3 linked regions of the Coturnix japonica genome follow. The main gene of each other region encodes a partner of the protein of the gene in region 3 in a complex. Links are inferred from orthologs where the notes say so. Each region holds a gene or a part of one and is shown on either strand. Other genes may lie near its edges. The genes, in order: KPNA4, NFKBIA and NFKB1.

The links.
Region 1: the proteins of NFKB1 (region 3) and KPNA4 are in contact, whole or in part, in a crystal structure (PDB 7LFC), measured with the Homo sapiens proteins. The link is inferred for Coturnix japonica from reciprocal best matches to the Homo sapiens genes NFKB1 and KPNA4. Residues at the interface, in NP_001158884.1 of Homo sapiens: Glu357, Glu358, Val359, Gln360, Arg361, Lys362, Arg363, Gln364, Lys365, Leu366, Met367; in NP_002259.1 of Homo sapiens: Arg96, Lys97, Leu99, Ser100, Ser101, Asp102, Arg103, Pro105, Phe133, Trp137, Thr140, Asn141, Ala143, Ser144, Gly145, Thr146, Ser147, Thr150, Gln176, Trp179, Gly182, Asn183, Gly186, Asp187, Asn219, Trp222, Val225, Asn226, Arg229, His230.
Region 2: the proteins of NFKB1 (region 3) and NFKBIA are in contact, whole or in part, in a crystal structure (PDB 1NFI), measured with the Homo sapiens proteins. The link is inferred for Coturnix japonica from reciprocal best matches to the Homo sapiens genes NFKB1 and NFKBIA. Residues at the interface, in NP_001158884.1 of Homo sapiens: Lys251, Ile252, Val253, Arg254, Met255, Asp256, Arg257, Thr258, Ala259, Pro326, Lys345, Leu348, Tyr350, Ile353; in NP_065390.1 of Homo sapiens: Asn108, Asn109, Leu110, Gln111, Arg140, Tyr181, Pro214, Cys215, Asn216, Arg218, Tyr248, Gln249.

The regions. Positions count from the first base shown.
Region 1 is NC_029524.1:19,639,513-19,649,806, forward strand, and holds the start of KPNA4 (importin subunit alpha-3), read left to right. Parts: upstream 1-3,829; 5' UTR 3,830-4,065; coding exon 4,066-4,134; intron 4,135-10,294. UniProt on the Homo sapiens protein: Functions in nuclear protein import as an adapter protein for nuclear receptor KPNB1. Binds specifically and directly to substrates containing either a simple or bipartite NLS motif.
Region 2 is NC_029520.1:32,787,169-32,797,195, reverse strand, and holds NFKBIA (NF-kappa-B inhibitor alpha), read left to right. Parts: upstream 1-4,578; 5' UTR 4,579-4,683; coding exon 4,684-4,997; intron 4,998-5,242; coding exon 5,243-5,351; intron 5,352-5,810; coding exon 5,811-6,021; intron 6,022-6,513; coding exon 6,514-6,602; intron 6,603-6,715; coding exon 6,716-6,976; intron 6,977-7,461; coding exon 7,462-7,509; 3' UTR 7,510-8,212; downstream 8,213-10,027. UniProt on the Homo sapiens protein: Inhibits the activity of dimeric NF-kappa-B/REL complexes by trapping REL (RELA/p65 and NFKB1/p50) dimers in the cytoplasm by masking their nuclear localization signals.
Region 3 is NC_029519.1:54,744,930-54,754,480, reverse strand, and holds part of NFKB1 (nuclear factor NF-kappa-B p105 subunit), read right to left. Parts: intron 9,382-9,551; coding exon 9,240-9,381; intron 7,250-9,239; coding exon 7,135-7,249; intron 5,123-7,134; coding exon 4,921-5,122; intron 3,927-4,920; coding exon 3,757-3,926; intron 2,928-3,756; coding exon 2,825-2,927; intron 1,961-2,824; coding exon 1,839-1,960; intron 1,010-1,838; coding exon 940-1,009; intron 614-939; coding exon 441-613; intron 309-440; coding exon 131-308; intron 1-130.

The sequences.
Region 1 (10,294 bases), on a different chromosome or scaffold from region 3:
AGTTGTAAAATGGAAACAGAAAAATAAAGGGGACACCCACAGCTTTTGGATGTGACAGAAGCATCCCATGGCATGAGAGAATGGCCCCCACGTGAGAGTGAATTTAGCCCAAAGATATGAGAGCTGTTACAACCTCAGAAAGTTCCCTAAACGTTATTTCTGCTCATGCACTGTAGCAGCACCTGGCATTGACTGCATGGGCTGGATTATCTTTCAATGCAGGGTAAATCATTTCTCCCCCAGCCCTGGCTGCAGAGCAGCACTGTGTTGCCTTCCTAGGGGTAACTGCAAGGCCTGAGATGAACACAGACACTTGTCAAGGGTGGTTACATTTCAAAACATGAGATTACTGCACTACATGTTGTGTATAGTCAAGAGTTCGTGGTCTGCATATTTCACTGCTGTCATGCAAAGGCCTTTGGGCAGCTTCTAACAAAAAGCAACTTTAAACAGCTGAGTAACAATTTAAAGATTGTTTAAATTTCACTGTGAAAAAGTGAGGAGAGAATCAAGGCAGAAGGCTGTACTTTGTTTTGGACTGAGTCATTTATTTAAGGCAGCAGCATTCATGTATTTCTAGCTCAAAAGGGATGACATGCATCCACCCCAGGTGTTTCTTCAGTGCACAGTCTGTCATACGTAACAGCAGCACTCATAGAGTAGAAATCAACTTTTCTCTTAGATTTAAAAGTCATACTGTCTTTTGCAAAAGCACAACTTTGAATTAGTTCCCCTGAAGCAACCTGGGGCTGTTAGTTCAGAGGGGAGGCCAGAAATACAAGCACAGCGTGTGCTGCTCACAGCCCAGTGCTGTGGTGTAGGGTCTGCACAGGCTCACACTAAGGGCTGTGTGCTGCCTTGTTTCTGGCACCGTTACGCCTCCACCTGCCCTCTGCTTCAGCAGAAAAAGGTCTGTCAGCACCTCCATCTCCCTCCAGAAAAGCTTTTGATGTTAAGGAGCTACAACAGAGCACTCTGGGGAGAAGTGAGAACAAGTGCAAAAGAGCCTGAGCTGCTTCATGGGGCCTGAGCAAACTGCGGTGTTTTACTTGAACGGGTCCTCTTCAATCTTACGCAGTGAGTTCTTTTGTAATGATGTCCATTTCAAAATGAAGCCCATTTTGTGAAGCCCAGTTCTGCGTTATCAACTATTTTTTAATGTCTTTCTCAACTGGAGCAGCATTCACAGCTGATCCCAGTTCGAGTTCAGGTATTACTTGGTAATGGCTGTTTTAATGTCCAGCAAGCACAGTTGGATTCCAGACTTGGAAATGCTGCCTGTAAAATAAAAGCATATATAGCTGTGTTTGCACACCAAGTAAAAGATTATCAGAAAACACCCGACCAGCAGACTAATATCTACTTTTTCGTTAATACTATTCCATTTTGAGCCTGAAAAGGCACATAAGCCCAAGGATTAATGAACATTTTTCTACGTACGAAACAAATCTTCTCAGCTTTACGTAATGTTTTGTTCCTTACACTACAGAAATAGCTTTACTGGCCATGGTAAGCCATTTCCAGCAACTCATTTTACTCAAATGAACCAAAATTTCTGCTTTTTGTTAAAGGAAACCACCAGACCAACGTCACGAGATCAGGAGCTCAGAACTGTTCCTCAAAACAAGCCTTCCACGTGCTGGGAGATTTGCAAGGCAGATCCGAGGTAAAATCAAACCAATACAAAAATAAGTTGGTAATTGTTCCTCTGAGAGCTAAACAGATTAATTAGGCTGCAGTTAAACAAAATGCACTTGATTAATCTCTGATTATGTCTTCACTTAAGACAGACAGTAAATTATTCTTCAGATGATACCAGATGAGAAATACGGATCAAAGGCTGCTGAAGGGTAGTCTTCCTCCGAACATACATAATTTAATAACAGTGAAGCATGCTCTTGAATTTTATATGAAGGTACATGGTGAGAAAACTACGCATGCCAGAATGGTCTGTTAGATCTGTGGTCGCAAGGCAGGTGTCGATTTGAAGGAAGGTTCTCCAAGGAATGCCGAGTGATTCTCAGCTGTTTTCAAGTGGTTACTCATGAGATGACACGGCTGTTGTTCAGTTCCTCCTTTCGGTCAGTCTTTTTCCAAGAACCGAGAGGTAGTGCTAAGAGAGATGATTTAATGGAAAGGTCATTGTTACTTGTTGGGGCATTGAGTCAGTTTTGGTCACTAGAGAATGCTCTGGCTTTCCAATTCCATCCTTCCCAAACTACATGCTGTGTAATCAGTCAGTGCTCAGTGTGGGGACAGTGGGAGGTGGCAGAGGTGGTAAGTCGGCCTGTTTAGGTTAGTAAAGACAAGGAAATGGTAACTAGGGGATAAAACTTTTCTTCCCTTTCATAAACTTCTGGGTCAGCCCTTAGACGCTGTGTGTTCCTCACCTTCATAGCCTGACTGCTTGTCATCTTAAGGCATGATCAGAAACCAGGGGAACAGAGCCCAGTTTCATTATTAGTGACCACATTCTACAGAGACGGAGCCTCAATTGTGCATTAATGTCCTGGTTCACAGAGAAAACACTTTGAGGATGCAACTTTATAGAAACCACTCTGCAAAAGTCCTTCCCTGGGACTCAGCAGCTGTTCCTCCATGGAAGGACATTACAACTAACCAGCACGTTCACGATAGTTCTGTAAGGCACCAAACAGCCTCTGAGACCAATGATTTCATGTCATTCTGTTACAGCAACTCTTCAATATCTGTACTTTAACTATTTTGCCAAGCTCCAAAGCAGTTTCACTTTTGAAAAGCCTTTATTTCCTTCTGTCTGCACGTAACTTCCTCAGCAGGAGTAAAATGTTAACTGCACAGATTAATCAGTCAAAATTCACAGTGCTTCACCTCTAGTTTTCACTTAAAATAATACTTAAGCTGTTAAACTTTTGTTTTTAGGTGTTCCTTCCTGGATTCTCTTCAAGCTCCATCCCTTCCAGGAGCACAGCTACATGTCTCTCACCTGTGCTCCCACAGCTGACCCGACACTTGGCTCAGCTCATTGATCAGAGGATCAGGCTGTGGTTATCAATATCCCATATAGACACGTAAAGAAAATATCTTCCTTGTATACCAGACTGCAACGCGCAGGAGTTACAGCTGTAGCTTCAAAAGATGGTTTATATATTGGTAAAACAACAAAAGATGGTTTATATATTGGTAAAACAACAAAAGATGGTTTATATATTGGTAAAACAACAAAANGTTTATATATTGGTAAAACAACAAAAGATGGTTTATATATTGGTAAAACAACAAAAGATGGTTTATATATTGGTAAAACAACAAAAGATGGTTTACATATTGGTAAGATGAGATATGCTGATATATTTATGGAGACTGAATATACCAGGCACTACCCTGAGCAGTAACTTTCTAACTTTCATTATTAGTTCAAGTTGTGTTTCTTTGCTGCTACAATACAAATTCAGGGAAGACTTTCTCCAACTGCCAACACTTTGTGCAGCACAGAGCTAATATTTTTGTCATTAATATTAATTATTATTATCCTGGCAGGCCACAAGGAGCTAACACACAGTGTATTACTACAAGCTCTGGGTGGTTTCATTGCGATTAAACAGCGATACCAGCCCCCCCCGCCCCGTGGCTCCGCTCAAGATGGCGGCTCCGAAGCTCCTGGAAGGGCTCCGTCCCCTCCCCCCCCTCCCCGTCACCTCACACGTCACGGCGCCGCTCAGCTCCCGCCCTCTCCCTCCTCGCTCCCATTGGCCGCCTGCCGCGGGCTGCTCGTCCAATGGTCGCGCTGTGCCGTGCGGCCCAGAGCGAGGCTGTGTGTCTCCCCTCCCCCCGCTCTGCCCGTCCCCGGCTCCGGCTCGTTCGGCGCCCGGCAGCGGCAGCGCCGCCCGCAGCCCGCACAGCGCGCACAGCCCGCACGGCCCCGGCAGCGCCCACGGCCCGCACGGCTCCTACGGCCCCTTCGGCCGCTGCCGAGAGCGGCCCGCGGTGGGTCGGAGCTACAGGGCCACGGGTCCGGGAGGAGAGAAAGGAGGAGGAGGAGGAGGCGGAGGAGCAGCCGCGCTCCCTCCCACCTTCCCCCCCGCCATGGCCGACAACGAGAAACTGGACAACCAGCGGCTGAAGAACTTCAAGAACAAAGGCCGTGACCTGGAGGTACCGCCCGGCGGGAGGGGCCGCCCGGCCATGGCGGCGGGAGGGACGGAGGGAGAGAAGGAGGGAGGGAGGGAGAGGGGGCCGCCGTGTGGCGTCTTTCCTAATCCGCCGCCGAGGGGCCCGCGTTGGGGCCTTGGCCTGCACCGCCCGCACGGCGAGGGAGGGCCGGGAGGAAGGGGAAGGGAACGGAACGGAAGGGAAGGGAAGGGAGAGGAAGGGAAGGGAAAGGAAGGGAAGGGAAGGGAGAGGCCGCGCTGCGCGCTCGGGTGCGGCCGTTGGGCTCCGCTGGGGGTGGAGGCGCTGAGGGGCAGCGCGGGGCTCCATGAACGCGCCGGGCCGGGCCGGGTCCCTGCGGGCGCTGCGCGACCAGGCGGCGCTGAGGCCCCGCGGCTCATCTCGGCCATGGAAAACATGAGTCAGGGCCGGGCCCGCGGAGAAAGCGGCTCCTCGGCTCCGCTTTGTACCAAACGTCGTTTTAAATCACTTCTTGTTGTTTCTTTCCCTATCCGGGGCACATATCGCTCTCGTAGCGCTGTGTGGAAGCAGTCGTGGGATCAGCGTGCCGTGCTGAACTTGTGGGTGGGTTCCTCCATCCCTGTGTGTGCTGCTCCGGGACTGAATTAATGGGGTTTTCTGCAGCAGATATGCAGATCCTGGTGCTCGGTATCAGTCTCGCCCATCACTCCCGGCCCTGGGGGAGGCTCTGTGTGCTGATGGCAGTGTGAGGCCGTGGTTGAGCTCAGGGCTCTGGCCTTCACATTCTCTTGATGTTTGGCCCCGCTGCGTGTCCCTATGGTTACAGTGACATGACATCCTGGGCCTTCTTGTGCATTGCTGAGTGCCCCGTTCATCCACATGAAAAGTAAAGGCTGCATTTATATCGCTGTCACTTGCGAAAGCATCACCCGTGTTTCCCACTCGAGGTATCACTGGCTCCTGTTGGATCAGGCAGTTTATTATGGAGTTACAACATCCAGTGGTGCCAAAAAGAGGTAGAAATGGGAACAATTGCCACAGTGACTGCGCTGTTGGTAAACAAAGATGTGTCCATGGCTCCTTGGCTCTGTTGGTAACTCCTGCCTCAGGTATTTTTTTGTGTATGAATGTTTTTTTATTGCTGAATAAAAAACTGCAAAAGGAGTGAAAGTTTGGGAGGACACTCAGGGAAATCTATGCTAACATTAAAATGAAAGCAGCAGCGGGGGGGATAAAAACAACACAGGAATTCATTGGGGTTTTCTGTCCTTTGGTGCCTCCATGCTGGGGGTTGAGGCAAGTCAGCTCCGTGCTCAGGAGCATCACGCCCAGTGTGTGTTATTGCAGGTGTTTGTGAATGAAGGAGCAGACAATCTCTGGTCCTTCTCTGAATTTGCTGATGCGTTTCAGTGTCCTGCGCAGTGAAAGCAGCACTCCCAGGCCGTGTTAAATTTGAGATACTGACATCTACCCAACGACTCTTGGAACTTACGTTTGCTGCCTAAAATAACCGCTGTGGATGGTTATTTTTCACACAATAGCTCAGGCTCCCAGCTCTGATTCTGATTTTCTCCCTGCTTACACGCTGTGTTTTGCGTTAGAGGTGAGGTATTGCCAGGCCCTCTCACAGCTCAGTATCCTGTGGTAGCAACAGTTGCTATTCAGCCGGTTCATGGCACGTGTGTTCCTGCCCGGCTTTAGCTGGAAAATGTCTATTTACTTCACACTGGCAGCCAGTGTTTGATCGTTATCTCTTCCCCTCATCTTGCCTCCTTCACTCCTCCCCCATTTAACCTCTGCTCAAACCGTGCTTTTACCCATCGGTTTTATACTCAGCACTCGGGATCTTTCTTTTCTATGACTGTTTGCCTCCATTTGCTGTACCAAACAAACCACCAGTTATGCTGGGTATTATTTTGGGGGATGCCGAGTTACTGGGCAGCTCTGGGGGTAGATGCAAAGTGCAGACTTGAAAAGAAAAGAAGGTTTTTGCTTATAGTCACTGGGCTGAGCATGGCGAGGTGTTGAATAGGAGCTGATGCTGTCTGTGTGTTCAGCTTCCAGCTGCAGGGAGGTGATTGTGCCTTGCAGATCACGGGGGATTTCCAGCGTTTTCAGAGCTGCTGAGTGTGTGTTTGACTCTTTGGATTCTTCACACTGGTTTTATTTTCACTTTCCAGGCTTTCTCAGTGGGCTTCTGAAGGCACAAGGGCTGCCCTTGAAGAAAGGAAAACAAAAAGACGCCTTTTACATAATGATATTTAGCATAATTCCTTCATGCACTGAAGTATTGGGTAAACATGCGTGCACGGGCATGTTACATTGTAAACAATTGCCGCCACGTGTTTTAAAATGACAGATGGGTGACAACAGTAGGAATAGAGGGGTTCATTGTGAGCAGGAACACAAAATGTTTGCTTGTTCTGCCTTTTATTTGTAGTGCTGGATAAAGGAATCGTAGAAGGCTGATGATACTCGGTATCTGAGGGTCCTGTGGCAGGAGAGATCAGTCTGCAGCCAGCACGCAGGCAGGAGCTCTGTAGCAGTGAACATTGCAACTTACACACACATGGAGCTGTGCAGCTCTTCTAGGGCTGGAGTGTCAGCACCAGAAAGGAGGAATTGCACTTTAGTGGCTTGGAGGAGGTGGCCTTACAGAGCTACAGGAGCAGCCACTTACATCAAAAACCCCATCCATACTTCAGTGAGTGCTTAGCGAGTTGTGCACTTGGTAATTACTTGGAAAGTCAGCTATGGTAGCTTTGACTTTTTTTCCACACTTCTTCAATGAGAAACAGGTTTTGCTTGGCCTTCATTTTATTCTTTTCCCTTGCATAAAAGAGGATGAGTTGTTTTATTTTCCAGCATTTGTTGTACAAACGCCTCAGAATCAAATCTTAAGTCTTTGCTATACAAAGGATAAGTGAAAGCTGTTCCTGGTGTCTGCAGCAGGCGCAGGTTTGTGAATGGGTTGGTTTGCAGTAATTGCTGGGTGCTGCTCCAAGAGCTGTGGAGTGCAGCCGTGCTGCTGGAAAGGAGCTTTGGGTGCCTTGTTTCCTCAGGTGCTGTGTCTTATTTTGAGTTAATCAGTGCATGCTGCAGCCTTCAAGTCTGATTGGCATGTAGGTTATTGTGAAATGACATCCAAGATGTATGTTATGCAGGTTATCTCTGGAAGTGCTGGAGGCAGACGGTGGGTTTGTCCACCTTTGGTTTGTCCACCTTTTCTTCCCTGCCTTGCCTGTATGTTATTGAGAACTGCTTTAATAGTGCCAACACAGAACAAGTGTCAGACGTTCCTGTTCTGTGAGCGAGAGGAGCGTGGTAAAAACTGCTGCTGGTGTGATGCGGGTACTTAATTGGAAACAAACACGGAGTGGCCATTGGGTCTGAATGTTTTCCCATCTGCTGTTGTCAGGACTTGTATCAGTTGCCAGTGGAGGTCACTGGGCTTGTGACACTAAGGGTGTATTTGGGAACACCAAGGAAGCTTCAGAGCATTGAAAGGAGCACCCTGAGATTCACAGGTAGCTGGAGCCTCTTGTGCCTCTTCCATAACCCGCACAAGGGGGTTTGTGTGAGATTCCTATGGGGGACTGAAGGAGAGCAGGAATCTCGCTCCCTGGGAGCTGGTTAAAAATAGGCCCCGTTACGCTGACTTGCAGTTCTGTGAGGAAGCTCAGACGCTTTGTTGTTTAAAAGAATCGTACTGAGTTACTTGTTTGTATAAAGCATTGCAGTTGGAGTACACAGCTTCTGCAGGACAAAGCCGGAATGGCTGCGTGTGCAGTGTCATTGCTTTTTATCTGTTTATTACTTTTATTCCTTTGCACTGAGAGTTCCCATTGTAACTCTAAAGCGGAAAGAGCTGAGATGTGTTTTTCTGGTGGGACCTTGTGGGGATGGTTTACTTTAAAACTCTGCAGCATTTTTATGGGTGATGTTGAGGGCAGGATTTAGTGCTGCAGTCTGCAGGTGAATCAGAATTAGTATAGGAGGGAAATAATGGGTAAAGGAGGGCCCGAGTCACTGCTTTGGATTTTTAACAAGTTCAAATGTGAGATACATACAGCTCCAGAGCACATCCTTACCTTTGGAGTTCAGTGCCTTCTTAGGAGGAAGTTTTTCCCCCAGAGGGTGGTGATGCACTGGAACAGGTTGCCCAAGGAGGCTGTGGATGCCCCATCCCTGCAGGCATTCAAGGCCAGGCTGGATGTGGCTCTGGGCAGCCTGGGCTGCTGGTTGGTGACCTGCACACAGCAGGGGGTTGGAACTGGATGAGCACTGTGGGCCTTTGCAACCCAGGCCATTCTGTGATTCTTTTATACCTGTGAGGCTCCTTTGCCATTGCTGTGGGAATGGAGCAGCCTCCTCATCTGCTCTGGGCTGCTTCCTGAGCAGCGGGGCATGGAGGTCCCTGGTAGTGCCCCCTTCCCCTGCTCACCTGTGGGTGCTGTGTTTTTATTTGCAGTCCAGGCTTGTGATAGTGTAGAGAAGCAGCTCTGCTTTAAACTGCCTTTGGCAGGGCATTTACTGCAGTGGGAGAAGTAGGTGAAGTTCTACCATTGTTTGTATGCTGTCAGGCTGTCGTAGGTGCACAAGTAGCTGCTGAAGTGAAATATTTCATGACAGCAATCCAGTCCTAAAGTGTGCACAGGAGAGAATGAAGATGTGCTGCTCCATGGGAGGGTCAAGTTCTTGAGAAATATGGACTGGAGAAAGAAGTGCAAGGGGCCTGAGGTGTGTTAGCTCTGGGTATTGGGGCTGCTGGGCTGATGGGACTGAGCTGTCCCTGAGCGTGGGGCCTAAAACTTCTGTATTGGGCATTGCAAACATGAACATATTGGCATCCTGCAGCTCATAGAAGATCGTACTGATAGGCTGAAGGACTCAGGAGTGATGAATGGTCAGAAAACGGCCTTTATGATAAAAATGTTCGGAGCTAAATATACTGAAAAAAGGGGTAGCAGCGGTAGGTTGATGAAAATAGATTTGATTACTTGATTTCTGATGTAGAGCAGAATGAAGTGACTGAAGGAGCCAGATGAATTCATCCTGAAGTGATGCCGTGGAGCAGTTGCCAAGGAAGGAGCGTTCAGAAATCTGTTTCTAGAAACTTGTAAACGGAGCTGGTTTGCTAATGGCTGCGTTAGTGCAAGGTGAGACGGCTTCAGAACAGCTCCACAATCACATCAGATCTTCTCCAGAGCCGAAGGTGACACTGGAGAATGCAGCTGTATGGTGCCATCTGCCAAGGAAGTGGTGTGTCTTGATTTCTTCTCTTGGCGATGATTTCTGACAAACAACACAAGTTTATCCCAAGTGTTGTTGCTATTTGGGTTTTTCAGAGCAGCCCATTCCATTTCCAGCAGTGATAATAGTACCGTGCAACTCCTCCGCTTCATCTCTTCCTCCTTGTGTATTTTCCTTTCCTGGAAGGCAGAGCAGTGACGGGCTGAACCAACAGCAGCTTCATCAGCCCGGCACTGTTTGCATAGAAAGTGACTGCAGGGAGCCCTGCTTTGAACTGCTCTTAAGAGTGACTTAAGTGGTGCTTTGTTTGTGCAGAGGCTTGTGCAGGTCCATGGCAGTCGGGTCCTTTCAGAAGCAGAGAGGAACTCAGGCTGCCAGCCCTGCAGCTTCCTGTTGGTTTTGTTTGGGGTTTTTGTTCTGTTGGTTTTATTTTCTGGAGGAGGATCCTTTTCCTTTTCCATTGGTGCTGATGGGTTCACAGTGTTTGGAAGCCTGAGCAGTACAGGTGACTTCTTTTGATTTATTTATTTATTTTTCCAGGTAAAGAAACCTTGTAAAAGTTGTGCCCAAGACTTTTTTTGCTTGGACTATCTGCTTTAATTCCACCCTTTTCTCCCCGTTTCTGTTACACGTGTGATATGTGCTTGTTCTGAATGAGGGTTTGCTACCACCGAAGTCATAACACTGTTAGTTGTGACTATATGGCTTTTAACAAACCCTTATAGTTTCATTTCCCTTTACGGTTGGCTTCCCAGCAATGCAATTTCCCACTCTTTTGAAACTACGCAGCCCGTCTCGCTCTTGGTTAGCAGCAGCCTTTCCCCTGTAGGACAAACTCAGACAGGAGGGATCTGGGTTGGATGTTGAGCAGCAGTTCTTCACCCCGAGGCAGTGAGGCCTTGGGCAGCTGGAGCTGCTGGGTCTGCCAGCC
Region 2 (10,027 bases), on a different chromosome or scaffold from region 3:
TTCTTGCTGGGAAAAACTAGAGGAGGTAATATTACCAAATGTCACAGCTGCCTGCAGGGGAAAGTCCCTCTGTAATTGTCAGCATGCTTCCAGTTGGTGTTTTCTGTATCAGGTGCTTCCACTCTGCCATAGGAGAAGGGGCCGTGCTGATGGGGAGCAGTATTATTTGTGTTGCTGAAGGGGAAGTTGTACTACAAGCCCATGAGATTTGCCTTTGCTCCCCCTCCCACTCCACAGCTTTTCTTATATGTAGCAGCAAGTTTTGCTGCAGCAGGCAACGAGCATCAGCTAAAGGCAAAGGCACTTTGAGCAACATGCTGTAACAAAACTTCCACGAGAGAAATGGGAATGACACCAGAGAAAACTTGCCTTCCAAGTGGTAGTAGATTTCAAATGAAGTGACCTATATTTACCCCTAAGGCATAACAACAAAAGCAGTTTAAATTTATATCGCATATCTCATCCCTAAGGATCTCCAGACATGCAAGCAATGGATTTATAAACAGCCCCACAGTTCACAGAGAGGGATGCAACAGTCAATTTAAGAGACATCAAAAATAAGACACAGACTAAAAATAAAACAAGAACTGAGTGTGGTCAGAAATGTAGATTTCTGACTGTTATGAAAAACAACCCCATGAATCTCTGGCTGGACACCCTGGCGAGCTCCATTTCTTTAACTGTGGAACAGCCTTAAGACTTTAAATGACTTAATTTGGACCTTGGCTATTCATGCTGAAAAAGCACCTCCCACGTGGTTTGTTTGGCTATCATGTCAGCCTGAATAAGACAGAGAAATATTTCCTCTGTATCCACAGCTCACAGTTTTGGGGCTGTTCTTTGACAGTCCCCAGTCAAAAATGTATGAGGGGGAGGTGAACAGCCCACTCACAGTAACACTGTGAGCTGACAAAAATAACCTGTGCTTAACTCTCTTGTGCCTACGTGGGCTTTTAAAAATTGTTTCAAATTAGCAACAGTCAAATTATCATTGGAAAGCAGGAGGGAAACATGTTGCCCTCACTGAGCACTGGATAAAGGGTTCGGAACTGAATGCTGACTGGTCCTTACCCCCTATAGCAGCTGTAGATGGGAGGACAAGGTAAGCTGATTTTAACTGCAAAACACCATCAGAATAAGTGTTTTCTAGTTAGTGTTTCTTAGCTTCCATTACACAACAACGTCTTTAATCCTTTGGATAAATAAAGGGGAATCCTATTCCAAAAGGGCACATCTCACGTGGACCGACACATGCAGGCAGTGGGTTTACTGCTTTGCTTTGCTTTGCTTTTGTTAAAAACAAAAGCCTGGGCCAAGATCCTCCTGAACGCTGTGAACTCCCTTTCCTGTTATGTTTACTCCTGGAAATTCACGGTCCCTGAGATGAAGTGGGTGGAAACAGTTAATAGATATCTGCAGGGGCAATCTCAAAAGTACAAAGTTGAGGGACCAACTCTGGTAAATCAACAGCATCACAGAGACGGCACTAGACAGTTCTCATGATTAGTGTGGCAATCAGGAAATTGCAGTTTAATGTGTTTCCTTGAGGAAGCAGCATGAGAATCTTTCGTGTACTTCAAAAATGGATTAAAATCCTACTGCCCCTTTTCCAGCAGTCAGGCACGCAATACTGCTTCTGAGCCTTGCCAGCTAGAGGCTGGAATAAAACCAAACATATTCCCCACAGCTTGGCAGCACAGCAGATGGGGTGTTGAGTGCAGAGGGGACTTGTGCAAAATCCAGTCCTCGGGTACCAGGTGCAAACCCACATGGTCCCAGCCTTTTGCATTGGCACAGTGCTGTTCAGGTATCCCTCAGTACTGTGATGTCTGTGTAACAAGGAGAAGGACCCATTTGCAGAGCATCTGCACAGCCCTTCACTGAGCACCACAAAACTGGCAGCAAAGACTCCTAACATGGTCACAAATACAAAATGCAAATACCCTGGGTCCCAAGAAGATGAATGTGAAAAGCACTCCTGTGAGATGAGCAAAATGAGTACATTCAGAGGAGAACTACTGAGCCAGCATATGCAAGAAGATAGAGGCTTTCAGGTTGGCACAGACCATGGCAATTGACTCTAACCTGTCCTGGGTCAGAACAGCTGCTCTGGCCCCAGGGGAATGCAGCATTCACGTGAGGAACTGTGCAGAGAATCTGAGCATCAGGCAACCAAAAGGACAAAACTACAAATTGAAAAGCTGATCTTGTTTCTTTCTATCATATTTATTTGTGCTTGTGGACTATGTGGGAAATTGTACAGAATGAGTGATAGAATGAGTTAATTTTCAGCAAAAGGACAGTGCCCCAGCAGCATAAAAACAACACCAATGACCTCCCCACAGCTTCAAAACCTTTGTGTCACGCTGTCTCCAACAAGCTTATGCCCTCCTCCTGGGCAAATACCATAAACAACATTGTTAGCTGAGAGGAGTTACAGAGGAGATAGCAGCTTTATTTGTTTTAATAGATCCTGCTCACCCTGCCATCCACTGGCTGCCTGCTGCTTCACACATGGACTGGGGCAAGGGCAGGGCTGGTCCTTGAGCTGAGCTTTTGGCTGCCTCACAGCCTGGGCACCAGCCATGCCTGGGGCCCTGTGGTGAGACTGTCAGAGCTACTATTAACTCTGGGACATCACTTTCTTAGAGCAAAACAAAACAGGCATCAGTGAACATGCAGCGTGGACGCACACCCACTGGCCCTGAAGCTCAGCCCCTGCTGCCAGGGGCACGGCTGGGGCACTGCAGCCAGCAGGAAGTGGGCTGACCTTTCAGCCAGAAATTGTTTTTCCATCTCCTTTCCACCATCTACAACCATCTGAAGCACCACGGCTCCCAGACGTACGTAAAGCAAGTACACCTCGGCACGTGTGCCTCCAAAATGAAGCCTGGCAAATGCTTTCTAAAAATAGCTTAAGGTTGCCTGTGACAGCAGATGGAAGTCATTTGCAGAGGCAGAGAACTTGTTTTGCTGAGCTCAGTTTCCAGCTGCTGCAGTGCGGATGGGAAGTTCTGCAGTGTAATTTCTGCATGGCTCCAGCAGAACCCTGGTGGAGGCTGCTCAGCTCAGGTCTGCACCCAGCTCCCTTCCCTGCCATGAGGCAGGCAGGAGGAGATTCATTTGATAATTAAGTTCCCCCTGCCAATTTACATCAAAAAGGGGAAACCCTTTCAAGAAGCTTGCAAAACTTTCAAAACCCCATAACCTATAAAAGAAAAAGTTGCCTGGCTTTCCTAAACCTGCCCAAAATCACCGGTGGCTGTCCCAGACCTTGAGATGAATAATGAGAAAAAGGCCAGGAATGGTATGGCTGGGCTGGAAACCAGGACCAGCTGTTTTTGGGAACCCACGTGCCCTCTCTGATCTTCCTCCCTCTTTCATCTCTGGGTTTTCTCCCAGGGCCTCTTGCAGAGAGACATCATCCCACGGGAAAGTGGCTGGAGCACATCTCGGGCAGTTAGTCAGCCAGGCCAGCAATTGCTGCAAGAGAAGAAAAATTCTTAATGGGAATCCCCCACATCTGAGTAGCAGCAGAGAAATTCACCAGGGAAAAGTTCGGCATCACTAAACCCACACTGACTTTAATCCTTATGAGAGGCTGCATTCAGCCAGCTTTCATTGCAAGCAGATGGGAGGGCACCAGTACAAAGCAGAGAGGAAAAAATTAAAATGGACATGGAATAAGGATGCTGACAGGATATAACACTTTTTAAGGGGGAAAAGGGGGTTTTTTGTTTGATTGGTTTTTGTTTTGTTTTTTTAATCTGCACAAACGTTCTGAAGGGTTCTGTAGAGTCCGTGGCAAGAACTGTGTGCAAAGAGTGGAACAGGACTTTCCTGCCTATTCCATCCCATGCCACTGAGACAGATTAAAATCTTCCACAGCAGAGAGGTGAGTTGTTACGAAGGCTGATGCCATACCTGCAGGCCTGCAGCCAGTATGACAGTTTAACACAAGTCAAGCACAAGACTGTATGAATCTCTCTAAACATATATATATATATATATTATCATTGTGACACCCTCAAGGCTTTGGGACATGGGGTCAGCGCAGACAAGCTCCTCTCTGCAGCCCTGCAGGGAAGTGTGTTGCTTCCCTCCCCCAGGACTGGTGCAGGACAGGCAGCCCCATAGGACAGGTGTGGGTGCTGCTGGGACAGCACGGGCACGAGGACAGAACACGTGTAGCAGGGTGGACTCAGCGTACCGACGGGAGCCTCTGCATCCACCCGTCTGGACAGTGACTGGCTTTACCGCGTCACTTCGCCACCAGCCGGCCGAAATATGCCCCCGGTCCGACGCAGGTCAGACGAGCGCTGGTTAATGCCTCCTCGGGGAGGCCCTCTCCCCGATCCGGGCGGGGAAGCCCCGGGCGGGCCGCGGTGCAGGGCAGCGGGCCGGGCGCCGCAGGGAAGTACCGCAGGCACCGCGTTACTCAGCGGGACGGCGAGTACTTCCCCCTCCCCCCCGCAGGCACGGCAGGGAATTCCGCCGGGCTGGGCCGGGCCGCGCTGCTTTGGGCCGGCCCCGTTCCTCCCCGGCCCGCCCCTGGCGCCGAGCAGGACCGGGCTCGCCCGAGTGGCTGGAAATTCCCGCGGCGGCGGCTCCTCCCCCGCAGAAATCCCCTCGCCGGGCTGTATAGGCGCCGCCGCCGCCGCCGCCGCCGCCGCTCACTCGCGGATGCCCGTCCGTGTCGGAACGCCGCCACCAGCAGCAGCAGCCGCGGCGCCGCGCCGCCCCTCCAGCCCCGCCGCCATGCTCAGCGCCCACCGCCCCGCAGAGCCGCCCGCCGTGGAGGGCTGCGAGCCGCCCCGCAAGGAGCGGCAGGGCGGGCCGATGCCTCCCGACGACCGCCACGACAGCGGGCTGGATTCCATGAAGGAGGAGGAGTACAGGCAGCTGGTGCGGGAGCTGGAGGACATCCGCCTGCAGCCCCGCGAGCCGCCCGCCCGGCCGCACGCCTGGGCCCAGCAGCTCACCGAGGACGGCGACACGTAAGTCGGGGCCGCGGGAGGCCGGGCCGGGGCGCGACGGCGGCGGGGAGGCGCCGGGCGGGGAGCGGAGCGGAGCGCGGAAAGTCCCTGGAGCGGAGCCAGGAAGAGGCGGCTCCGCGGTGCGGAAAGCCCCGGCTTTCGAAACCCGCACATGACTGCGGCCGTGAGCCGGGGGCCGCGTCAGCCGCGTCCCGCTGGGGGGATTTGGGTCTCACGTGGGGCGCTTCCTTTTTTCCTCGGTGCAGTTTCCTCCACTTGGCGATCATTCACGAAGAGAAGTCCCTGAGCTTGGAGGTGATCCGACAGGCCGGTGGCGACGGCGCCTTCCTGAACTTCCAGAACAACCTCAGCCAGGTACGCTGCGCCCCCGGGCCGGGCCGCCCCCGCAAAAGGCCCGCGGGGAATTCCCGAGGAGAAGTTTCTGTGTAATTGAATGGATGTGAAGTCGGAGCCCACGTTGGGGAAAGCACCTGGCTCACTCCATGCGGTGGGGGTGCAGCGCTTTGTCCTGCTGCAGCCTCTCGCGTTTTTCATACGCGATGCAATGGATCGCATTCCTCTCCATTGGGATGTTAATGATGCCCTTCCATATGGATAGAATATGTGATATCTGGAGAGCCCCAAGTCTACCATACCATACCATAGCTACCAGACTACAGAGCAGCAGTGTGCTGTGCCAGGAAGCGCTAAGAACTGACTTGCAGTACTTGCATTTGGGCAGAAGTCCTCAATAGCCACTGCAGGGTTTGTGTATTTGAACCTTTGCTAAACTTGTCACATAACTCAAAGCCGTGTGTTCCCTCCTGCCTGCAGACTCCTCTCCACCTGGCGGTGATCACTGACCAGCCTGAGATCGCCGAGCACCTGCTGAAGGCTGGCTGTGACCTGGATGTCAGGGACTTCCGTGGGAACACCCCGCTCCACATTGCCTGCCAGCAGGGCTCGCTCCGCTGTGTCAGCGTCCTCACACAGCACTGCCAGCCCCACCACCTCCTCGCCGTCCTGCAGGCCACCAATTACAATGGTACGTGTGCTCTGCCCTAGCAGAGATCTCAAGAGAAGTATCTTCTTCCCATTGGAGTGCTGAGGAGGGCCCAAAGCAAAGAAGCATCTGACTTCCTTAAGATGTTGTGGGTTCAGCCTTGCGGGCCTCCTCGCTCATGGTCATTGGCTCTCATGGGCCTTAAATTTAGTATTTTTAGTGAGTGCTTCTGCAGTACTCATAGCAGTTATGTTTTTGTGGGTTGTTTTTTTTTTTTTTTTTTAGAGGGTAAAGTTGTTACAGTAAGGCACAGTTAAAACCTAGAATAGATCCCCTAAGAAATCCAACCCAATCCAAAATCCAACCCAGTTATCCCTGTTATCAGGAAGCTGGAAAGCTGTTTTGAAAAACATGGTTTTGCCCCGGTTGATTTACTAACTTAGATACTCTTCTGTCTTATCATCTTGACTTTAAACAAGTTATGGGGCATTAGGTAAGACTTACTCAAATTTTGCCTTTGTTTTTATCTTCCAGGACATACATGTCTCCATTTGGCATCTATTCAAGGATACCTGGCTGTTGTTGAGTACCTGCTGTCCTTAGGAGCAGATGTAAATGCTCAGGTATGTAATTTATGCTATGAATTTAAGTGAGCTGTCTAGTCGGAAGAATCAACAGGTGTGACAGTGCTAAGCCTCACTCCCCTAATGCAATACCTCATGTTGTATCCAAACAGGAGCCATGCAATGGGAGAACAGCACTACACTTGGCCGTAGACCTGCAGAACTCAGACCTGGTGTCACTTCTGGTGAAACACGGGGCAGATGTGAACAAAGTGACCTACCAAGGCTACTCCCCATACCAGCTTACATGGGGACGAGACAACTCCAGCATACAGGAGCAGCTGAAGCTGCTGACCACAGCTGACCTGCAGATACTGCCCGAAAGTGAGGACGAGGAGAGCAGTGAATCAGAGCCAGAGTTCACAGAAGATGAAGTAAGTCCTGTTTGCTTCTTTTCAAGAGAAGAGTCACATCCTGCTCTTTGTTGTTTGGCTGGTACTGCAGTGAATGACCTCTTCCCTATGTAACTTTTGGGGGTTACAGCCCATGAAGTAAGGTTGTACTGCCAGCCATCAGAGGGGTGGCAGTTAGGGCAGGGTGGCAGTTAGGGCAAGGTTATAAACAGAATGAGCTTAGGAGTGAAATATAAATAATACAGTGGGTAACAGAGGGTAGCTTCACACTGTATTATTTCTCTGAGCTGATGCCTACAGAACTTAATGAGATAAAATAGTTAATGGGTGGGTTTGGTCTTCCCAGCATTTGTTTTTGTGATGGTTAAATAGCAAATGTAACCATTTCAGTGTAGAAGTTGCAGACGTACTGGAGTTAGGGCATGCAGAATTTGGCTGTTGTCCCAGAGTAGATGGGATAATCCTAGTAGGAGTTTGGCATTAACAGCACTTTGTTTTTCTTCCAGCTTATGTATGATGACTGCTGTATTGGAGGAAGACAGCTGACATTTTGAAGCAGAGGTTTCTGTGAAAAGTGACTATGTACATATGTAAAGGAAAAAGAGCCTGACTTTCTTCATTTAAAAGGAAAGTCTATACTCGAAGGAGAAAAAAGTGCTGAGATACTACACTGCCCAGCCAGGAGCACATCATGCTAACAGGTTCCATGTTCTGACCTGTGCTTAAGTAACGGGAATGGGATGTGTAACATCGTTAAGAGATCAGTGAACATGCACACCACCTGAGAACGAGCCACATTACCTAATATTCTCTGCCACATGAGGATAACGGACTGCATATCCAATGTACTGTTGTCAGAAATGCGTTTGTGAGCTGCCTTGTAACACTAAGTGCTGTGAGGAGTGCTCATCCCCTCGGTGGCAAGACAGACTTGCACAGACATCCCGTTTGCTTGAAGACTGTGAGGTTGGCATTAGGTTGAGGCACTGCTGTGCCCTGCTCCCTGACCCTGGCTGCTCAGGGTTGAGGTGCAGCAGGTGGAGGAGTCTGACCATGGAGAGATGACCTGGCTGCTGGGAAGAAGGTAGCAATGATGTTAACTGTGGGCATTGGAAACTGTGTGTTTCACACCATGTGTGTCATAATTGCTACACTTTTTAGCAACTGTATAGAATGTAAATACTGTACATTTTTGTTTATAATTATTTTGGTACCTGTGAGATATGTATTTATTAAAAAAGCAGATTTCTGTACCCAGCTTGTGAAACGGTTCATTATCCATCTCAACATGAGCTGCATGGGATCCATGAGGTTAGCTTTTTCAGAGATAATTGATATGTAGCAGACATAGAGGGTCAGAGGTTGGGGCGTTTGGGGTAGTTCACTGGCAGGAGGCGTAGGACATGTAAACAGCTTTCAGCTTCCAGTGCTTCGGCTGCAGCTAATTTTAGCAGCGCACGTAGGTGTAGCTTCCTGTGCCAGTTGTTGCAGGCGGGCAGGGGGCTGGGATTCCCCTCTGCCTCACAAGCGTCAGGTCGTGCATGCTATGGAGAGACTGAGTCTATTTTCAATGAGAGCTGCTTGCTTTAGGGGCATCTGTTTTGTTTTTCCTTTTTCTGGCTCCTGGTGTCCATGGGTGCAGTGAGGATGCGGAGTGTAGCTTTAAACCTGGCTACTCTTGTACTGACTTGCTCAGGGACATTTTCAGAGCAGTCCTGTGCTTGCCTACCCTCTCGTTTATCACGGCCTGACTCTGGTTTGAACTTGGACATCTTCAGACTTTCCAAAGGGGATTTCCACAGGAAGGAGTGCATGCCTGGGAAGGAGCACTGCTGCCTTCCCCCAGGCTGCAAGCAGGGGCCTCCCCTTCTCCCTTCTGTGGGAGCTGCATTTCTCCCTGCCCAGCCTGCAGCTATGAAGTAAGTGCCCTTCACACATTTCAGTTATTCCTCTATGTTTTTCCCAGGAATTCATGCAGATAGAATATTTCTGCTCAAACTCCCATCTGCATCTGATCGCCTTTTGGCAGTGTGGTGCAGAGAAGGCCTAACTTTAGATGCAGATACTAGAACAGCATGTGAGAAACATAACAGTGATTGCTCAGCTGAGTGAAGCATGACCATGACCAGCTTTTGGGCTGCATTTCACCTGTACCACAACCTTGGGATCAGGATGGGGTGTGTCAGAGCTGCTGACGCAGGACAGAGCTCTGCCAGGAGCACTCACTGGAGGACTTTTGTGCAGCTGACAGTCAAGGCTCAAAATCCAGTGTGGGTGACAATGGCTCCAGGTTGCACATGGGGACCCATTTCCTCTCTCGTAAGGGATTTCTGATACAACCTGTGGAAAGGGCTGTTTGGTACGAGGAAGAGCGCTGCATCTGCCTAGGTGCTTCTTAATTTGCATGGGAGCCAAAGGTTGTTGTGGAAGTGACTGTACAGAAATTGTCATCCTGAGTCATTTGTATTTCCCCTCCACTCTCATATCATTAGAATTGCCCAGGTGTATGCACTGGAACTTCCTTCTTGTAGAAAGGGCCATTCCTGAAGTTCAGGCCTGCAACATTTTTCAGGATTGGGTCTGGGCAATAGTCTTTTTTCTGGGGCTTTGGGCCTCACCCTGCACTCCTGCAGTTGTAGCACCCATTAAATCTGATATTCAGATGAAGTGGTGGGGGTTTATCCACCTACTGCAGGGTTTTTACCAGCAAAGAATCCCAGATGACTTTCAGCCTTTCCTAGTTAAGCACCACACTGCAACAGCTGAAAGTAGAAGAGGTTCCAACATTGAGCTATGTCCCAGTTTCCCATTGACAAAACATGGACTTGAAATTATGTAAGGGTCCTTTGGTAGCATTCACCACATACAGATACCAGTGTGCTGGAAGTGCTGAGGTACATGGCCAGACCTGGTATACAAATATTTAAGGAGATACCATCTGAATACAAATATTTTTTACTCAAAGGCTGGAGTGTGGGAGGAAAGTGTAGTTATCAGGAGTATCGGGCTGGTTGAGTACGTTCAGAGGCAGTTGTATGTTCCCTGGCACCCAGTGCAACATCCAGACAAACA
Region 3 (9,551 bases):
CTCAGACACAACGTCTGAGGAACTCTGCTATCTATATCTGCTATATCTATCTGCTATTAGCAGTCCAAAGTGAGGAAGGAGAACTAAAAAATGTTTTAAAGGTGCTTGATGCTTGTGTTGTTAGTTTTACCTGTCTCTCCCTTCGCAAAATTGGCAAGCGATGATGAAGGAAAAGCTTCTATTGCATTGTCCTCCTGGTGAGACTGCCTCTGAGAGCTGGATAGTGCTTTCTGAATTACTTCAATAGCCTCTGTGTGATCCATCTGTCTCAAAGCAGCAATCAGCTCCTGAACTGTACCTCCAGAAATCTAAGAGAGAAGACAGCAGATGCTCAGCTTCATCCTGGCTCGCTAAAACCAAAGGGCTGTGCTGTATCACTGGGCAGGACAGCATTCACTGCACAGCTGCATGTTCTTAATAACTTGTTACAGCCACATTACCTTATAGTTATCTAGCAGAGTTTTTGAGGGTGAAGGGCTCAATCCGAAGGCATTATTAAGAATGCCAAGCCCCAGCTTTTCTGCTAGAGTAGCCCAGTTCTTGCTTGGATCAGGTGTTTCCAATAGCTTGTAAAGCTGCTGCTTGGAGCTTTCATTCAGCTCCCTCAGAGGGCCTGGGGAACAGAAAAATACATCTGTTATTTACTCAATCACACACCAGTTCATTTCTAAGCAGAAGCACAGACAAATTTAAAAGTATCTATTTTAGCATCTCTGGTACTTACTAATATATTGCTGTAATATTGGAAATGTACAAACTTGGGCCCTCGTGCCATGCTTCTGAACAGACTCATTCTAAGACCGCAGTGGTAGTGAGTGCCCCTTCTCCCTCCCCACCTCCCTCACAAGCTGCTGCAGTCACGTTCTTCTGCAAACATACTTTGGTGCTCTGCTGTTTGTTCCCAAGGGGATGTTGCCAGCTCATCTTTACAGACTTTACCTTGTGTCAGTAAGTCCTCCGAAACTGCTGCTGCTGCTATGTAGGGTTTGCCATTTAATATGTCATACACCTAAGAGAATATATTCAATTTAGTATTTCGCAAAACCTGGTTATTTGTCCATTATTTTGACAAGTTTTGGTGGTATTGTTTGTTGTACAGCACTAAATCTCTAAATGGGCATTTAAAAAAAAAAAAAAATTACAGAAAACCTGTGCATACCATGAGGGATAAACCTCAGTTCATCTCCCTTAAGCTCTGTCATCTGGCAGTTACTGCCAGGACACAGAAGCAGCCTGTGCAATAAGCGAGGGGCTGTAGCAGAAGTTAAGTGGGGAGTTAGCAGCTGTCTACAGCCAGTAATTTCAAGCAAAGCCTGGGCTAGATTTTCACCTTTTCAGTAGCACTCCCCAGCCGAGCTCCATTTGATCAGAGATGCCAGCTCCTTACATGCTCACATCATGCCAGCTGTGTGTACTTGGATACTGAAGCTCGAACCATGTAATCTAACCAATGTTTGGGTAAGACACAAAAGTCTACTTTCACTACATATCATCCAGTCTGCAGTTCTAAAGACCATGCAGCAGAGAAACTTATTACAGTGTCTCACCCTGACCTTGTAGACCCTGAACAAGCACCTTCAGGCACATGCTGCTCTGTCTGCTGTCCTCTTCCATATTGACAACCCCAATGCAACTACTTAGAAGAAATGCCTGTTCAATCCTGCTCAACAGAAGTCAGCTACTCTGAGGAGCTTTTTTCCAATACTACTTCACTGTTTCTTGTGGCTCAGTAAGTTTGTTTGTGATGCCAGTTTGGGTGCTGTAGAAATTTGTCACCATTTAAATAACTGGATGAAATTAAACGAATTGTCAGTACTAAAAGACAGCAGCCCACGTACCTCCCAGTTGGCTGCCATGTCCAGTGGTGTTGTTCCAGGTACAATCCCTTCATCATCATCATCTTTCACATCTTCTTCAACATCAAAGAGCGGCTCAAAGTTCTCAATGTGAGGATCTGCACCTGGAGAACAAGCGTGCAAGGCATTTCTAAGGAAAGGCTTTTAAGCTGTTTTACATCACGTTGTTGAAAAGCACGGTTTAAACAGCTACGTTAGAAGGTTTACAATTCAAGACTGAGAATACATATTTTAACTCCGAAAATGGTGTTTTTTTCCTAAATAAACTGAAGTGAAATGTCACAACATCCCCATGTATCATCCATTATACAGATGGGGAAGAAAAGACAAGCCGTGTGGTTAGGCCCAAAGAAAGCATCTGATGATATAAACTGACTTCCAGTTCCATTCTTGGCTCACACAGCATGTATGTGACGAAGCACTGGTGCAGGGCTTCCCTTTTGTAGTGTCAGAAAGCAGGAGTGCTATTAAAAGACCAAACACACAGCCAGAGCAGGGGGAGGCTTGGATTTCTGTCTCAATGGAGAAAATCCAGGTATTAAGGGATGAAACACAACTGAAAAAAGCATTGAAATGCACAATCAAAACCAAATTTACTGTCATGATTCAAAACTGCAGAGAAGTGGTCCCAGTTTCTATGCCTGTAAAGCAGTCCAGCCTTATCCCAACTATAAAACTGGGTCTTTTGTCTGCTTCATATTAAAAACTATCTGCAAGTACCCCAAACCTCCAAGATTGCTTGGAAGTATTTTTACTAACACAGTTTTGCTTTGCTTTTTGTAGCCATTAGATGGTGCTAAAGAGTAGCAGAGCCTCTGAAACTAGGACTTCCCAGAGGAGAAACAAACCTTTATGCTTTTAACATCTGGTATCTTTTGCTCATTATGAAGTTCACTGACTGTGTGCAACGCCTTCACCTGAACTGGCACAGTTAAAGAGAACCCTGCAACAAACACTTGACCCAATACCTGCTGCTTTGAGAACTGCTGCCAGCTTCGTAAAGCCCCTTCCAGCTGCTATGTGAAGAGGCGTTGTGCCGTCGTATGTAGTGCTGTCCACATCTGCATCACCCTAAGTATTGAAAGAGAAGAAAAATGCTATTATCTATACAGTACTGTTGCATAGAGACTTGTGTCTGCATGAACCTCACTGCTCTGCAAGCAGCACCATTCCGTGCCTGTTTGCACAAGAATTCCAATTGTCTGAAAAGAATGAATCGGAAAGTGACTACAACTGTTGGCACCAGTAACAGACAGTGGTTGTGCTCTGCAGTGCCACAGCAGGAGGCAGCTGAGTGAACCAGGTAGATACAGCTCAAAAGCCACTTTGCATCCCATAATACTAATCAGATAATAGTTCTATTATCAGATTACCCGCAGCATTTGCCGTGCACTGAGAGCTGCCTTCCTGCTGCCCTTCAGCAGAGCAGACGGGCCGGTAGCACAGCTGTACTCCATACCCAGGGGAGCTACTGCAGGTAGCTGTGGGTGTGCCCAATTAAGTGTGCTGAGATCAAGGTGTGAGAGATGAGACAAATATTTACAGATACACACAGCTATCTCTCTGCACATCTGCACACACATTCCACCGCACCCGATCAGCAACTTGTTCGGGAGTCGTTTCATTGGCTGCTGGGGTTACTCAGTGCAAATTAAGCACGGCGCAGGCAGTCAGGTCAGGGTCACCAACTATATTTCTCAGCTTACAAAAGGTTCATCAGCGGTGCTGAATGACTAATAGCAAATAAATAACATTAGCGATAACTTCGCCATTATGCTGGTTAAAGTAATCGAGTCTATAAAGAGAAACATGACTTCGGTTCCACTGAAGGCTGACATATTGAAAAAGCCTTGAAAATATGTTTCTGGGAAGACCAGGGGAAAAGAACTTCTGCCCTCACCTCGAGCAAAAGGCAGCCTGCCAAGGGGATGTTCTCCTGTTCAACAGCTAAATGCAATGCAGTTCGTCCAGATTTTTGTTCCTGAGCATTGACGTTAACTCCAGCAGCAAGCAGCAGTTTCAGACAGGACAAGCTATTGGCGATCACCACCATGTGAATTGCACTGAGACCTGCACAGAACCATTTGTGTACATTAACACTTGAACAACACAGAAATGTCACAGTGATGACTTCTTAAGCAGCTACAAAATGACTGAGTGTTACTGTATTTATCTGAGCACCTTTGCCTGTCTAAGCACCAAAAATGGTGTTAATTAAAATGTTCTTTGTGCACAAAGTTGGAATTATTTGTGTTACTGATGGGGACTAGAAACCATGCATAAAAAAAACAATCAGCTAATAGCAGGGCTGGAACAGAAGGGAAGAAGGAAGAGCTCACCTTAGAATGTTGTTGAAACATCCTGGAGAGTGACTAATGCTCGTTAAGGTCAGACAGCCCTGGCACCTCAACATTAACTGCAGCGGCTCAAAAAGAGAATCATAAAGCTTTCTATTTATAAATAAGAAGAAGAATAGACCCTCTCTGAGGAACTTAACACAGGTTTTTAATTCACATAATGACATTTTTAGGTCAGGTATTTTACTATCTACACCTAGTGCAAGAGTACTATATTCAAATGACCCGTGCCATTAAATAGTGGGAGAGTTGGGTCTCCATGGGTATTTTATAAGCTTTAAGACTCTGTGGTCCCAAAGTTCCAGAGGTGATACTTGACACAGGTCCAGAAATGCCTTTTGAGGGGATTTCATTCACTAGAGAGGAGGAAATATTTTCAGGTGGAATTTCTTTAACAGTGGTTCTGTAGGGCAGCTCAAGAGGAACGTAGCTCTTGAAATTCTGTGATATTGAAGAAGAAAAAGTTCCAATTCACACTGCAATACGGACATTGTCAACCTCTGTGTTCTGTCTAACCACAAAGCCTGCGCGTCTTTGTTCTCTTAGCTGACTGCAGGTGTGTAAAAGCCAAGGATATAATGCGCAAACCATGGAAAGATGCGACTTCCAAAGTCTGTATCTATGTAGAAAGGCTGGGCTGTCAGAAATGGTGCGGTGCTTGTCTAGGCAGTAAGTAAATGTGAAGTACAGGCACTATTGTTCCATACCTTCACCATTGGAAAGGTCGATCATTGAAGATGCCTTCTTATGCTTGAGGAGCAGACCCAGAATCTTGTCATCTCCTTCAGCAGCAGCTAAATGTAAGACAGAGTTACCGTGGCGATCCAAAAGGTTGACATTTGCTCCAGCCTTCAGCAAGTCTTCTACCACCTCTGCCTGCTTTGTGATTACTGCCAGGTGCAAGGGGGTCTGCAAGGGACAGAAGTGAGCCATGAGAAGATGAGCGGCAACTACACGCCTTTACAGAAATCGGCTGAGCCAATAAAAGCACCTCCTGTGGGGTGCTGCTCCACTTTTAATGCTGGCGCAGGTGAAAAACTTCTGTACATTTTCTTCTGCTGTATAATACAGATAGGGTTTCTACTTAGTGGAAATAAAAGCCACCTCACTGGTGTCAGCAGTCAGACCTGAGGAGGAAGGCAGACATTGCCTGCTCTGTGCACTGGGGGACTAACCTGGCTGTTTGTCATGCAAGGGACTTGGGAAATGAGAATCCCTGTACTCCCAGAGGCAGTAATAACCCTGTTTACAGCTGCCCCCTGCCAAGCTCCTGCCACAGAAGGAGCGCACACACTTTATAGAGCCTGTTCAGCTCCGCCTCCGCAACTGAACCATACTCTAATTTTGCTCCTAAAAGTTCCCAGCCACAGGTTTAGGATCTCCTTATCCTTCAAAACAGCTACATACAAAAAGCAGAAAAAACTCGCAGTTCTGTTTGTCAAAGCTCAGAGTGCACAACGTCATCGAGCTGATACTGTTTGCCTGGTTCCCATCTCTGCACAGACACCCGCAGCACTGAGGCTCTCAGGCTGAGATTTCAGGCTTTTCCAAAGGTTAACTGTATTCTGCATCCTCGTCAGTAAGAAGCTTCACCAATCACAAAGTATACACTGAACAGTGAGGCACTGCAGTGCTTTGGGAAATCCTATTCCTCACAATAAAACAATCTGAAAAACACAGAAGATTCTATCTCCATATCATTATTTTTATATTTACAGATGACTGTAAAAAAGGAACTAATTTCAGCTCTATACAATAAGCTTGTGTTTGTCAGTGGAAACGCCAATGTATTTGCAATTAATTACTTGAATTTATACAACAAAGCATGATTCATCTTTCAGAGTATCTGTGCAGAAGAAAACCTTAGACTCAACCTGCATTTCCTCCCATCACTGGCTTAAGGTTAAAGTGGAAGGTAGAACAGCTGGAGAAGTCTGGTAGTTTGAGATTTATTTCTTGTATGGGGCACAGTTTTACTTCCTGTTTCTGTTAAACAGAGGGCACAGAAATTCAATTCAGAATCTTCTTGCTTTCATCACCTTCCACATTTCGAACTTCCTTTATGCGAACACAAAAACGAAACATGAAAGAGAAGAAAGAAGTCGCAATAAAGCCTCTGAGATTATCTGCACAGAATGAAGCCTTGGCTTTACCGTTTACAGCTTGGTGCTGAACAGAAAGAAATGGCACCAATCTCACAAGTGCTCTGTGTGCCATCCAGCTGGGTGCCTTTAGGACAACGGAATGGTGCGCATGGCTGAAAAGAGCTCCTTGTACTGGCAAGTTTTCACAGCTCTTTTTAAAGCCCATCTAAGTTGCAGCAGAAGAAGCTCAGTCTGTGTTACAGATAAGGAGATAATTGTGCTGGGCTGCTGACAGTTACTTCCCTGCTGGGTAAAAGACGTGCTTTTTTGTGTGCTTTAAATGTTACACTGTGAGCCAAGAAACAAAAGAGAAACCTTGGTGCTCATACAGCGGGCACAAGGACCTTCTAGGCTACAGAAAGACACAGCTGCTACAAGCTTCTTCAGCAACTCAATCATGACCCTGAGTTGTCCTGCATTACAAAGTTTGAAAGATCCCAAAGTCGCCACATCTCTGGTTTAATAATAGAGGAGCCACATAATGAAAATACAAACTGAAGAATTCAGTAGGATTTGGGGCTGTTCTATGATAAACAAATGGAGACATTTCTCTTAACACCAAGGCAGTTAGGAATTAACAGAGGAAAAAGCACACCCTTGTTCTTCCACCTCCTTACAGCATGTCACCGCGTTCTTCTGTCTGTGCAGTTCTAAACCTGTTTGCCTCACTATCTGATCTGGGCTCATTCTGATGAATAGAAGGACAATAGGACAGTAAGGAGTACAGTGTTTGCTGGCTGAATGATCCCCATCAGTTACACCACCACAACATCATACCTGATAAAGGTCGTTTCTCATGTTGATAATGTTGTTATAATTCATATCTGGCATCACTTCCAAGAGGTTTTTAACCAGTTCTCTATGAAGGTGGATAATTGACAAATGCAGGACGCTGAAACAAAATAACAGATCAGCATTGTCACTGTATTCTCAAAGGTATGATACAAAGATGGGGCTGTACATTTGACTATTAGAAGTCATGGCCGACACCTCAAATCGAGTGAGAAGTGAGCTGTGTGTAACCCTTCAGTCACAGAAGGAGATGCAGGATGGTTTCTGCTGGTCCTAACTATGACCTTGCTACTAGTCCAACAAATAAAAGCTTTGTATCACAAAGAAATGTCTCAGAACCTGTTCAAAATACCCAGATCCTTCACTGTTTCTTTTCCTGTTTGGAATTACTCAGCACACTGGCATCTCTTCCTGTCAAAGCCTTCCTCCAGAATTTCCACGGCCTCATCTGCTACCCAGGCAGATTTTCCCTCGGAGGTTCCCCTCTCCCCAGGCTGTAGGTTTTTCTTGTTTCAGTTTTCAAGCAAAATGACTCAGGGCTCAAGACCAGTGACCAACTGACCCAGGATCTGCAACAGTGACCAAAGGTGTCTCACTTGCTAAAGGAAAAACGTGCTGAGGGACATGAGCGACTCTGTGTTTTAATACTCTCTGACTCCATGAGATCAGTACTCTGAATGCAGTAACAGCCAGCACTGCTGTAAGAATACTCTGATCACAGATTAACATTAACATAGGTATCAAAGCCTTCACACAACACACAGGATCTCTACAAAGGTATTTTCATTCCCTGCAGACTGTCCCCATGAAAGATGCGCAAAACTGTTGTCAATAATGTTTTTTAACAGCTTCAGCAAAAAACGCGCAGTCTTTGTCATATGTTTGTAAGGATTACAATGAAAGTTACAGGGAACTGATTCATAAATCTTGGAATTTTGGTTTTCTCTTAAACAGCTCCTGTGACACAGCTGGCAGATGGCTGCCAGAACTTTGGTTTGCTCCATAGCTGCAGAGCGATTTGTATGCACTGCACGCTCACAGTCTAACTCCTTCCCAGGAGAAAAGCAACACAAACTCGAGACTCACACACTTGCAGGTACTTCTTGATCCAGGAAAAATAACTGTCATAGTGATTAAACTACTCTGACTTTGTTGAAATGTCCTTCAAGTCCAAATCTGGGGAACACCACAGTGACGGTTAAATGCAGGTCACTCTTACTGGGACACAGATTAATACTCTCATCATCTTCTGGGGAATTTTTTGCATTAAAAACAAACAAAACCAACAAATACACTTAGAAGCTGTATTGTCCAAAGTGCCAGCAGATTTTACTGCTAGCCCCTACCTCATCCATACACCATTTAACCTCAAAGCTTCATCAGATTGCCAGCTGGAGAGCCAAGGAATCAGTTCTCAGTGATTCTGAGTACTTAGTGCATCAGCACTCTGAGGCCTGCTTCAGTCTCTTGTGATTTTCCATCTGTTTAGAGACCTTAAGTTTTACATGGCTTCTACTGCACAAAAGACTGCAAATAAGGAAACAAGAATGATTGCACAGGGTCTGTCCACAACCCGCCAGCTAAAAAGTGACAATGGGATAATATCACTTGTTTATTCAAGAGAGATCATCCCTGCATGTGCTCAGAATCACTTCCACCAAGCTTGGTTTTAAATAACCACTAATAATCTGTGTCTCACTGTATTTCAGTCTGAGTCCCACGCAATCTGCACAGCACCCTTTGGTATCAGTAGGAGAAAAGCAACAAGGACTCTTAGCTATTATTTCTACTTCGCCCAGTGCATCCAGAACTTAAAATTCCCTATGAAGAATGAAGGACTTGCACAGAACAAAAAGCAGGGCACACTCTGCAGCACAAAGCTGGTCATCTCCATCAGCTGTGTCCCATGGCACAAACGCAGCAATCCATGCTCAGCACTGATCTCCCAGACAGCACGAAGGAGAACGATGCTCATTTGATTAGCGGTGCTGCAGTCCCTGATCAGCGCCCACAGCAGATGGAATGCTGACACACTCTGCTGCCAAAGACTGAACTCTCCTGTCGCTAAGTCCTTGCCAGCACTGACTTACTTGTCTCCATTGTCATCCTGGACAGCAGTGAGATGGCGCTGAACAGCGAGCAGCATCCTCACATCTCCAGTTATAGCATAATCAAAGAGAGCGTTGCAGTGACGCTTGGCAAGCTGCATTGCCTTCTCCAGGAACAGACCATCTGCAACACAAATGTTTGTCTTCATTAGCTTGGTTGTCTTCCCTGTGGCAGCACCTTCTTTTGGCACAGGTTTGTGCTGCCACAGAAATACGAAGTGCAAATCACCACACATTCATTATTTACCGATTGGCTGAGATGGGTTGTTAATTACACCTGAGAGGAAAGGACAG